Linked DNA regions of Cricetulus griseus. Each later gene encodes a partner of the first gene's protein in a complex. Links are inferred from orthologs where the notes say so. Each region holds a gene or a part of one and is shown in the gene's direction. Other genes may lie near its edges.

Region 1 (5,142 bases):
GCTTCCCCATTGGCCAACAGTGTTTTATTCATTAACCAATAAAAGAAACACAAGAAGGACTTTCCCCCTCAAGGCCATCCTATAGCTTAGCTTTCAAAAAAGAAATAGGAACCACAGGGAAAATTTTGTGGTGACCCAAGTGACAGGGGTGATAGAAGGCCTGGAAGCCCCACAGGTGACAGCGAAGTAAACCATGAATTCACAAAAGGGCTGGAACCACAGCATCATCAGCTGCTCCATTAGCAGAAGAAAGAACTGAGGAGGAAGGGAGGGAGGCAGAAGTAACTAGGCTTTCTTTTTTTCTTACTTTCCAGACCCCAATGCTATCTCCCAATACCCAGTCCAGGCCTGAAGCCTCCTGCCTTCAGTCAGCCCTCTGCAAAGCAGACCCCAGAACACCCAGGGGACCTGGTGCTTGGGCAAAAAGCAAAGAACAGCCTTTAGATAGGAAATAGCTTCATTTGGAATGTTGTCAAGTACTGGATACACATCAAAGTAACGAAACTTTCCTTAATTCCTTATATTGTAGCCATCAGTATGTGGTTGCAGCACACACCTTTATCTTATTACTATTTTTTTATCGGTGTTTCGATACAGGGTTTCTCTGTGTAACAGCCCTGGCTGTCCTAGAACTCACTCTGTAGACCAGGCTGGTCTCCAACTCAGAGATCGGCCTGTGTCTGCCTCCCAAATGCTGGGATTAATGGCATGCACCACCACCCAGCTAGGATGCTTTAATCCTAGCAGTTGGAAAACAGGGAAGAGGAAGAGTTCCAGGGCAACTAGGGTTACACAAGTTCCAGGTCAGACAGACTACAAAGCAAGTTACTTTCTCAACAAAATGAAGGCTGGTGATACAGTGGTGGAATGCTGGGCATGCCCAAGATACACACACACAAAACACTGTTAAGAACACAGTTTACTTCTTTTCTTCTGTTCCTTAGCCTTCTAGATCATCACGAATTATTATTACTGATTCTGGGCTGATTTAGTAGCATTTTAAATCAGAATTTTTAGTGCCAGACATTTTTGCTGTTCTTCAGCTGAAATCCAGTGTGTGGGGGGAGGTGGGGGGAGGGGGAAGGGATGAGGTGTTCCATAGAAGAGTAAGCGCCCATTGTAACAGCCTCCACCCAGGGCACGAATGCCAGGCAGCGGCGCCATGGCAACCGCATCCCGGTCTTGGAGGTTCTCAAGGGATTTGTTGTGTCCTGGGAAAAGGCCACATAGGCTGGACTCACGTTTTTAAAAAACGGAAATGATATCCACCGGGAAGAGGTTTACACAGGCCCACACGCCACACCAGTCCTCTTTATCTAGAATCTTTGTTTAGGAGGATCCAAAATGATTTTGTTTTTTTTTTTTGCGAGTGTATAAACTAGTAAAAAGAAACAAGGCGCAAAGCAAATTAGAAGAGATGCTTTCGTCTCGATTCTGAGCCTAGGTCCTTCCCACACCCGCGCCGCTCTTTTTCCGTCGGGATGCTAGTCGACGGAAAACCAAAAAGCAAAATGCCGAGCTTCCCCGCGGCGCACTCTCTCTCCCTGCCAGCGGCAGGTGGGGCTGCCCTGCTGGGTCTCCAAGGCTGCGGACGCCCCTCCCACGCCGACTCGGGGCTTCTCCGCTACATAAAGCAGCCAGAGACTCCGCGAAGCCCGGGGTTCTGGCCCAGACGCGTGCCTGGGGCGGGGCTGGAAGTAGGCTCTCGCGTGATTGGTCAGCCGGGCCAGAAGGCGGGGCTGCCGGACGGACGCTGACAATGAGCCTCCATAAAAGGGAGCGGCGGGGTCGGGGGCCCCGGATCGAGCCCTCCCCGCCTGGGGTCGTGACGCGCTGAAACCCGTGGCTGGCCGGCCGGGCGGGCGGGCGGGCGGCGGGTGAGCTAGACGGTCCGCGGGCCCTGCGTGGTCCGGGGCGGGAGGCGGCCGCCAGTGGCGGCGCGCCGAGGCCTGCGCGCCCGTCCTCCGCTATCGGGTCGCCCTTCTCCGCCTCGCCATGGCCCTGAGAACAGAGGGCGCCGCGGCGCTCGACTGCTTTGAGGTGACGCTCAAGTGTGAGGAAGGGGAGGACGACGAGGAGGCAGTGGTGGTTGCCGTGATCCCGCGGCCCGAGCCGATGCTCCGAGGTAAGGAGGAGGGGGATCTCACTTCCGCATGGCGGCCAGGGGCTCGGCCCCCTGTTCCAGATCTCCGGTCCCCAGGCACGGTCCGGGCCAGCGGCGGTAGCCCCGGCGGGTCCTTCCTGGTCGGGTCCACGGCGGGCGCGCTCCCGCGCTCCTCCCCCACCGGGGTTTGGAATCCCAGGCCTCTCGGAGCCCCCTCCCTCCGCCACCCCTCCCCCGCTCAGGGTCTGGAGACTTCCATCCACACCGAATGAGCGCTTCGGGTCTTCCGGTTCCCTGCGCCCCCTGGGCCCAGCGTAGAGGCCGGATTCCCAGGACCGTGGTTTGTGCGTTGCCGCCGTCTCCCGGTTTCGGCCTGACTGTGTCCTAGGCCGAGGGGCGACCAGGCCTCTAGGCCCCACTCTGATCGCCGTGGCGTTAACGGGGGTGAAAGCTATCGGGACTGGTAATCTCCCGGGAAGAGAATTTGAAGAGCCCTGCCAAGTAGAACCCGTCCTACCCCCATCCCCAGGCCTTCTCTCGAAGGAGCCACAGGTGTCAGTTCTAGAACCTGGCCGTTGAATGGAACTGCAAGCAGCACCCGGTTTGAGAAAAGCGGGACTTGTTTGGGGGGTGGTACTAAGCCATCTACATGGAGATTAGTCGCCAAAGGAGGTATTTGAGGGACAATCTGGAAATACTGGCTTTCCCCTCCCCTTCTTCCTTTCTTTGGTCCAAAGGAGAAAACAAAGAGCTACCTTTGTGGAAGACTATTAGTCATGAAAATGCAAATATTTCCTTATGGTGGACTACCTGTTTCCCTTAAACAAGACAGTACCCAAAAGAAATTAAGTACTAAGGCGTTTGCTGTGCTTCTTGAACTTCAGGGATGTCTGCGCTCCTTCTCCCTTTTGGAGATGGGAGGGTTAGAAATAAAGGCCACATTCCTCTCAGTGTTTGCATCACACAGGTTATTTTCTGCTTGTGCTGGTTTATGGAGTGCTTGCTCTGCTATTGTCAAATGCTCGAAGTTAATCCACTCAACAGCTCTGCCAGGGTGGCCTCATCACGGTTAAAAGGAAATAGACATCTACAGAGGTTCATTCATTCAACTATATTTATTGGGCAATTATATGCCAAGCATTGTTTCAGGTGCAGGGGGAAGTTTGGGGGAATGGTAACAGCGGTGAGCAGGGTAAATGAAACCCTGCTTTGAACGTATATCACAGTGACAGCCAACAGGTTAATTGTGTAGCACGAATAATAACAACCCAGAGATAGATATTATTGGGGAAAACTGAAAGATTAGAGAAGCAAATCACCAAAGCCACTAGAAAGTTCTTAACCTCTACCAAGGCTAAGACCAAAAGGGTCCATCCTGGCCTCAGGCGACTGAAGACTGAATACACCACACTCCTGCCCCTACTGCCTTCTATTCCTCTCTAGTGCTGGGATTAAAGGTGTGCACCACCACCATCCAGCTTCTGTGGCTGACTAGTGTGGCTAGCTTTGCAAGATGATCTTCAGGCAAGCTTTGTTAGATAATCAAAATATCACCACAAAATTGAACTACAGTGTGTTCGATGGCAATGACTTCTTTTTTATTTTGTGTGTCATAACATACAGGAAGAGGTCAGGACTCCTTTTTGTTTGTTTGTTATTTTGAGACAGGGTTTCTCTGTAGCTTTGGAGACTGTATTGGAACTTGCTCTGTAGATCAAGCTGGCCTTGAACTCACAGAGATCTGCCTGCCTCTGCCTTGAGTGCTGGGATCAAAGGTGTGCACCACCATGTGAGAATGAAATTGGGCTCATCAGGTTTGGCAGCATGAGCTTTTACCAACCCATCCATCTCCTTGGCCCAGCAATCAGTTGTTTAGGGAACACAAAGGTGAAATAGAGAAGTGGGGGTGTAGTAAGAATTTTGTTTGTATTGAGTGGTTAGGAAAAGTGTCTCTAGTAAGGATGGGGCAATGGCGGCACACACCTTTAATCCCAGCACTATACAAAGAAACTGTCTTGGAAAACAAAATAACAAAAGAATTGATGGAAGAGGTCTTAGGAGAGCAAGTACAAAGATTCTAGAGGCTGGCACAAGGTTCTAGAAAGATCTGAGGCATGAGAAAGTAGATGAATTCAAAGCTTTGTTCTTTGGGCTCAGCATGGTGGCACACACCTTTAATTCTGTCACTAATTTGGCAGAGGTAGGAAGACTTCTGAGTTTCAGGTCATCCTAGTCTATCTAGTGAGTTGCAGGCCATCTGGAGCTATAGTTAGTGTTTTAAAGAAGAAAGAAAAGGGATTTTTTTGTTTTGTTTTTGTCTTAGTTGCTTTTCTTTTGTGACAAACATCATGACCAAGGCAACCTGTTTGTGGGACTTAGCATATACCTTTAATCCCAGAGCTTGGAAGGCAGAAGACAAGTGTTGCTGTGCCTTCCCAACCCCAAATGAACACACAGAGGCTTGCTATATTATTAAACTGTTGGCCAGTGCTTAGGGCTTCTATTGGCTATCTCTGTCTTAATTTTTTGTTGTTGTTTGTTTGTTTGAGACAGGGTTTCTCTGCATTGCTTTGGAGGTTGTCCTGGAACTCTGTAGACCAGGCTGGCCTCGAACTCATAGAGATCTGCCTGCCTCTGCCTCCCGAGTGTTGAGATTAAAGGCTTATGCCACCAATGCCTGGCCTGTCTTAATTATTAATCCATTTCTATAAATTGAAGTATTTCCATGTGGTCTTGGTTTACCGAAGAATGCCCAGACCTTTTTCTCCTTTGGCCACTACATGTCATCTGTTTTTGGCAAGCTCCCTCTGCCTACCTCTCCCAGAATTCTCCTAGTCTGGTAGCCCCACCTATCCTTCCTGCCTGGCCACTAGCCAAACAGTGTTTTACTCATTAACCAATAAGAGAAACATATATACAGAAGGATATCCCCCATCAGACAAGCTGGTAGATCTCAGAATCCAAGGCTAGCCTGGTCTATAGAGGATAGCGAGGGTTACACACACAGGAAAGCTTTCTCAGGGGGAAAAAATGAATTG
Region 2 (5,224 bases), about 220 Mb from region 1:
GAACCATCTCACTAACTGTCTAAATGTTTGATGTTTGGTGTAACTCCTTAAAAGTGAATAAAAAGAATTTAACCCCACCCTATCCCCAATGCCTGCTATTTTCAGAGGTTCTATGGTCTAACACCCACAGGTGACTGAGTATTCCCAGGAATTCCCACAGTCCTCTGTGACAAATAGGGTTGATTCCCAACTACTGTCTAGGGAGTAGCCTGGCATTGAAATAGATTTGATCCCTGCCCTTTGGCCTTTATCATGGGGTGAAGGCCCAGGAAATAGAAAAGCAAACAAACCAACACTGGCATAACTGATGGGATCAGTGCCGTCCAATACAGGTGAGAGAAGTGGGGAGGATGATCCAATCCCGAGCCAGCGTCTCTGAGGAAAACACTTAGACACATTGATTGGTGCACTTGTGCAGAAAGTAACCTGAAGGGTGGTGGCCCTATACCAGGGGACACAGGAAGCCAGCGAGGTGGCAGGAATGGCTGACCGTGCTATCACTGTGTCCATCTTAGAGTTCTCCACTCAGTAAACATTCCCCACCACCGTGAAATGTTCACAGAACACAGCATAGACATTCTTGAACATGCACACTAAGCATCCCCTCCTGGGGATGGTGCCTCCAGATCTCTTGTGGTTCCCTTGACATGTCTGGTCAGGATGTGGAAGGGCTGTGGCTCTCTTTACTCAGCAGTGATGTTGGGAGGTGTCTTAGGGTTTCTATTGCTGTGAAGAGACACTGTGACAATGGTGACTCTTATATAGGGAAACATTTAATTGGGGCTGGCTTATAGTTCAGAGGTTTAGTCCTTTATTGTCATGGCGGGAAACATGGTGGCAGCAGGCAGACATGGTGCTGGAGAAGCTGGGAGTTCTACATCTTGATCTGCAGGCAGCAGCAAATGAATTGAGTCACTAGGCCTGGCTTGAACTTCTGAGACCTCAAAGCCCACCCCCGTGACACACCAAGGCCACACCTCCTAAGGGTGTCATTCCTAGTGACCAAGCATTCAACCATATAAGTCTATGGGGGACATTCCTATTCACCACAGGAACGAAGCCTGGAGGGGTTGGCAACTGTATCTTGTGCCTGCAGGATCTCTAGTTGCCAGATATTAAGCTATGACAGAAAATGACTGTGTTGGGCTGGGGATATAGCTCAGGGTGGGGACTACATGCATGAAACCTTGGGTTCACTCCAGCACCGCATACACCAGGTGTGGCAGAACACACCTGTAATCCAGCTCCACCATAGCACAAACCATGCTAGCAAGAACACTGGGGCGGTAAGCTCACTTGGTTTTTATTCTAAGGCAGGTGGAGGTTGTGTCTTTTTCCTATAGGCTGGGGTCTGATCTCACAGTCTTTCATGACTGGCTAGCTTTAAAAGAATTAGCACAAAGGATATGAAGGAAATGGGTGAGACCATTAATTTCCAGGAATATAGCAGACCTAAAACAAGTTTTACAAGATGGGAAATTTATGGAATTTTGGCCTTCATGATTCTCTAGGTTCTCAGCAAGCAGGGGCAAGAGGAGGCTCCATTTTCTTCCCATGGCCCCTCATTATTATTATTATATCTTGCCTCTATAGGACACGCCTGGGGATCAATTTTTAAAATTAAGGAATCCATCTACAGGTCCTAACTGGTCTTCAGTAGTCATCGATGAACCCTTTAATTACCCAGTTTTTGCCCCCTTTGATTGGAAATGTGGATCAAGATCAACTGAGTAGCAGAGACTTTCTTCCAAATCAACTTTCCAGCGTTGGGATGACAGGCTGGTGAAGGGAGGACTATCTACATCTTTCCGGAAACGGATGGAGATCTCCCTAGCACGCAGAACCTGTTCTCTTCTCTCCTTATAGTTCCTTCCTTGCAGTCGTGACAATCGATGACTATCGTGGCTTTGGAGGTTTGTGTCTGCCTGCAGATGGAGTTATAATGAAGTTAGAAGTTGTATGACGTCACCCTGGCAGCCATCTTAGACTGACACTACTTCCCGACAGCCTACTTGAAGGACTTTGGGCTCACGTGTATCCTGTTCTCAAGGACATCCAAGCTCAGGGCTGGTTGGTGAGTCTTGGGGATGGGACTCTGAGCATGTCCCTGGGGGCATTATCTTAACCGAGGAGAGGAGAGCTGCTCTCTGTGGGTGGAACCATTTCTTGGTTGGATCATTGCACTCTTATTTCTGACTGGGACTAAAAGTTTCAGGTTCCTTCCACTGACTTCCCCATCTTGATGGAACTCTACCTCAAACTGTGAACTGAAACAAACCCTCCTTTCTTAAGCTGCTTTTGTTGGAGTATTTTATCACAGCAACAGAAAATTAAGTAAGGCAGCTGGGGGACACCCAGGGTTAACACCTTCTCTCAGCAGAGCTTTCATCTGGATAGTGGAGACATGGCAGAGGACAGACACAAGGGTGCTTACAGGAGAAGACCTGGAAGACTGAGGAAATAGAGGCTGTTAATCCCACCAGATGCGAATAAGATCACTACCACAATTCCTGAGCCAAATTTGAAGCAGGCTTTATTACATATTGTCCAGGACAATGAATACTGGCCAGGTCCATATCCAGGACTCCCAGAGAATGGCACTGTTTTATAGATCTCTTAAGCACAGTAATTTAAACCTAAAACACAACTTTAGTTATCACAAGGCCTTGGGCACACATCCTAATCTCCTCCAGCCTCCTATGACACCAAGTGTGACAGGTAGCTGGAGAGGATCCTGCTAGGGCTGGCTACGCCCAATTATGTCTGATCCCAACTTTCTTCCACTGAGGCCTTCTGAGCTTTTTGATCACCTAGACAGGTTATGGTGGCCCAATGACTTCCACACAGAACCCACCGTGCTTGTATAATGAGTGTTAGAGAAACCCTGAGTTGCTTTGGGGAAGCGGCTCAGTTGACAGAGATTACCTGGCATTCACGATGTCCTGGGACGCATCCCCAGTAGTGAATACACTTGGTGTGGTGCTGTACACCTGTGACCCCAAATCTTTGAGGATAGAAGCATCTGCAATGGAAGTTCAAGGTCTGCGTTGGTTACGTAAGGAGTTAGAGGCACAGCCTTGGACTGTGAGACTGTCAGAAAAAGCAATCAAGCAAGCAGCCTATGAGAAGAGGTTCTAGATCCAAGCACTGTTCTGAACCAAACATGTCTGGCCCTACCATATGTCCAGGTTATACTTGTGGCTAGAGAAAAGGCAATGTCATACAGAAAATACCTTAGTGATTCAGAATCCATGTTTGCCTTATAGAGCTTGCTGTGCTCAGTCAGTCAGCTGCAATCTGTGGAAGCTCAGCTGGGGAGTAGCTGACATTCGCTTGCAAACAGGGCATACTCACGTTAGGTTACACCTTGTTCACATGTCAAGCGAGGTGCAGTTGACAATTCTGGAGGCTGCTTTAAGTCAAACTTTCCTTATCCTTAGTATAGAGGTGGGTATAGGCCAAGCCTAGTTTAGCAAGAGCATATTGGTTGTGGCTCTAAGAATGCTGTTCCTAGTGACCTATACAGGCTCAACAGAACTGTCTCTGTTCTTGGGAGACCACTGTGATGCCACAATTCTCTAGTGAGAGGGGCTTGTGAATCTATAGTTGCTGGTGCCAGTCGTGGAGCTAGCAGGAACTCCTGTAAGTCATCCTGTAACTGAGAATACTTGTCAGCTGGTGAAACAGACTAGAACTGCTGCCAGCCGCCCAAGGAGTTCACTTATCCTTACGAGGCCCCTCAGGAATGTAAAGCAGGATCCTTGACTTCACTGCAGAAAAGAATTTTAAGATGAGCCAGTAGGAAGCAAAATCAGAGCTTATTCGATTTTATATATAACATTTTAAATTTTATGTTATTTGGGTCCGTGTGAATGGCACAGTGCAGGTGTGGTGGTCAGATGACAACACTAGGAAGCTGTTTTTCTCTTTTCAACATGTAGGTTCCAGATCAAACTCAGGCTGCCTCCACCTCCTGAGTGCTGGTATTAAAGGGGTGTGCCACCACTCCCCACAAAACGTCCAATTTGAGTTGGATGTGGTGGTATATGCTTGTCATTCCAGCTCTTGGGAGGTGGAGGCAGGTGGATGAGGAAGGGGTTTAAGATGGCCAAGATGGCTACATAAAAAAAAGTTCAGGCCAGCCTGGGCTATACAAGACCTTGTTTCAAAAAAACAAACACAAACAAACAAACAAGCAAACAAGCAAAGCCTGTCCCCAGATCCCATTTAGGCATTCACCTCTCTAGGATGTGGCTTATATACTTTTGACAGTTTGCTGGAGACAATCAGCAGAGGTGAGTTTTTAAACCAGGGCTTGGGAAGACAGAGAAGGTTAGGCTTGGAGGATTTGGTTGACCAGTATTGAGGGGGAGCATCTGCCAGTGGCCGCAGGTGGGTAGAAGCCATGGATGCTGCCAAACACCCTACAGAGCACAGGGGAATCATCCTTAAAACCCAGTCATCCAGCCAGGCATTGGAGAGGCTTACACAGGAATATCTTAAGTTAAAGGCCTGCCTGGTTTACCTAACACATTCTAGGTCAGCTAGACAGTGAGACCTTGCTTCAAGCAAAACAACCCAAAACTCTATTCCTCCCAATCACCAGGTCACAAGTGTCAACACTGCCAGGCAGATGTGATGTCTATTCTTGGTTGCCAACTTGACTACATCTGGAACTAACTGAAACCCCAAAAAATTGCTGGGGACACCCATGAGGGGTTCTTGCTTAATTAAATCATTTCAGATCTCTGAGGTGAGAAGATACAACTTTAATCTGGATCTTTTGAGGGAGGAAGATAAACCTTTAATCTGTGGCACACCTGCTGGCAGCCTATTTAAAGGACATGGAAGAAGGAAGCTTGCTGTCTTTGCCTGCTTGTTCTTGCTTCCACTAGCAAGTCCAGTGCTTCACTGACATTAGATTCCAGTGTACGCTGAAGACCAGCTGAGACATGCAGCCTTGTGAACTGAGCAACTACTGGACTGTTAGACTAGCTGGACCACAGTCTGCAAGCTATTCTAGTAAAACACTCTCTCTCTCTCTCTCTCTCTCTCTCTCTCTCTCACACACACACACACACACACACACACACACACACACACACACTGTACCTTGCTAATCTACAGAACCCTAATACAGCAGAGAAACCCAGGCATTTCACCAACGAAGAGGAAGTGTTCCAGACTACCACTCCAGCCTCCCCTTCCCATCACACCCTTCTTG

Evidence for each region.
Region 2: the proteins of Spindoc (region 1) and Spin1 are in contact, whole or in part, in a crystal structure (PDB 7CNA), measured with the Homo sapiens proteins. The link is inferred for Cricetulus griseus from reciprocal best matches to the Homo sapiens genes SPINDOC and SPIN1. Residues at the interface, in NP_612480.1 of Homo sapiens: Phe256, Ala258, Pro259, Ala260, Val262, His264, Phe265, Thr266, Asp267, Ser269, Phe270, Pro271, Gly273, Phe274, Val275, Leu276, Gln277, Leu278, Phe279, Ser280; in NP_006708.2 of Homo sapiens: Met154, Thr169, Tyr170, Glu171, Pro174, Pro206, Val209, Val210, Leu213, Lys216, Gln217, Val218, Glu219, Tyr220, Thr229, Val232, Val242, Tyr243, Ile245, Phe247, Asp249, Asp250, Tyr254, Val255, Tyr256, Asp257, Leu258, Val259, Lys260, Thr261.

The regions. Positions count from the first base shown.
Region 1 is NC_048596.1:52,070,096-52,075,237, forward strand, and holds the start of Spindoc (spindlin interactor and repressor of chromatin-binding protein), read left to right. Parts: upstream 1-1,757; 5' UTR 1,758-1,995; coding exon 1,996-2,125; intron 2,126-5,142. UniProt on the Homo sapiens protein: Chromatin protein that stabilizes SPIN1 and enhances its association with histone H3 trimethylated at both 'Lys-4' and 'Lys-9' (H3K4me3K9me3).
Region 2 is NC_048596.1:270,012,787-270,018,010, forward strand, and holds the start of Spin1 (spindlin-1), read left to right. Parts: upstream 1-1,913; 5' UTR 1,914-2,074; intron 2,075-2,367; exon of another isoform or gene 2,368-5,224. UniProt on the Homo sapiens protein: Chromatin reader that specifically recognizes and binds histone H3 both trimethylated at 'Lys-4' and 'Lys-9' (H3K4me3K9me3) and is involved in piRNA-mediated retrotransposon silencing during spermatogenesis.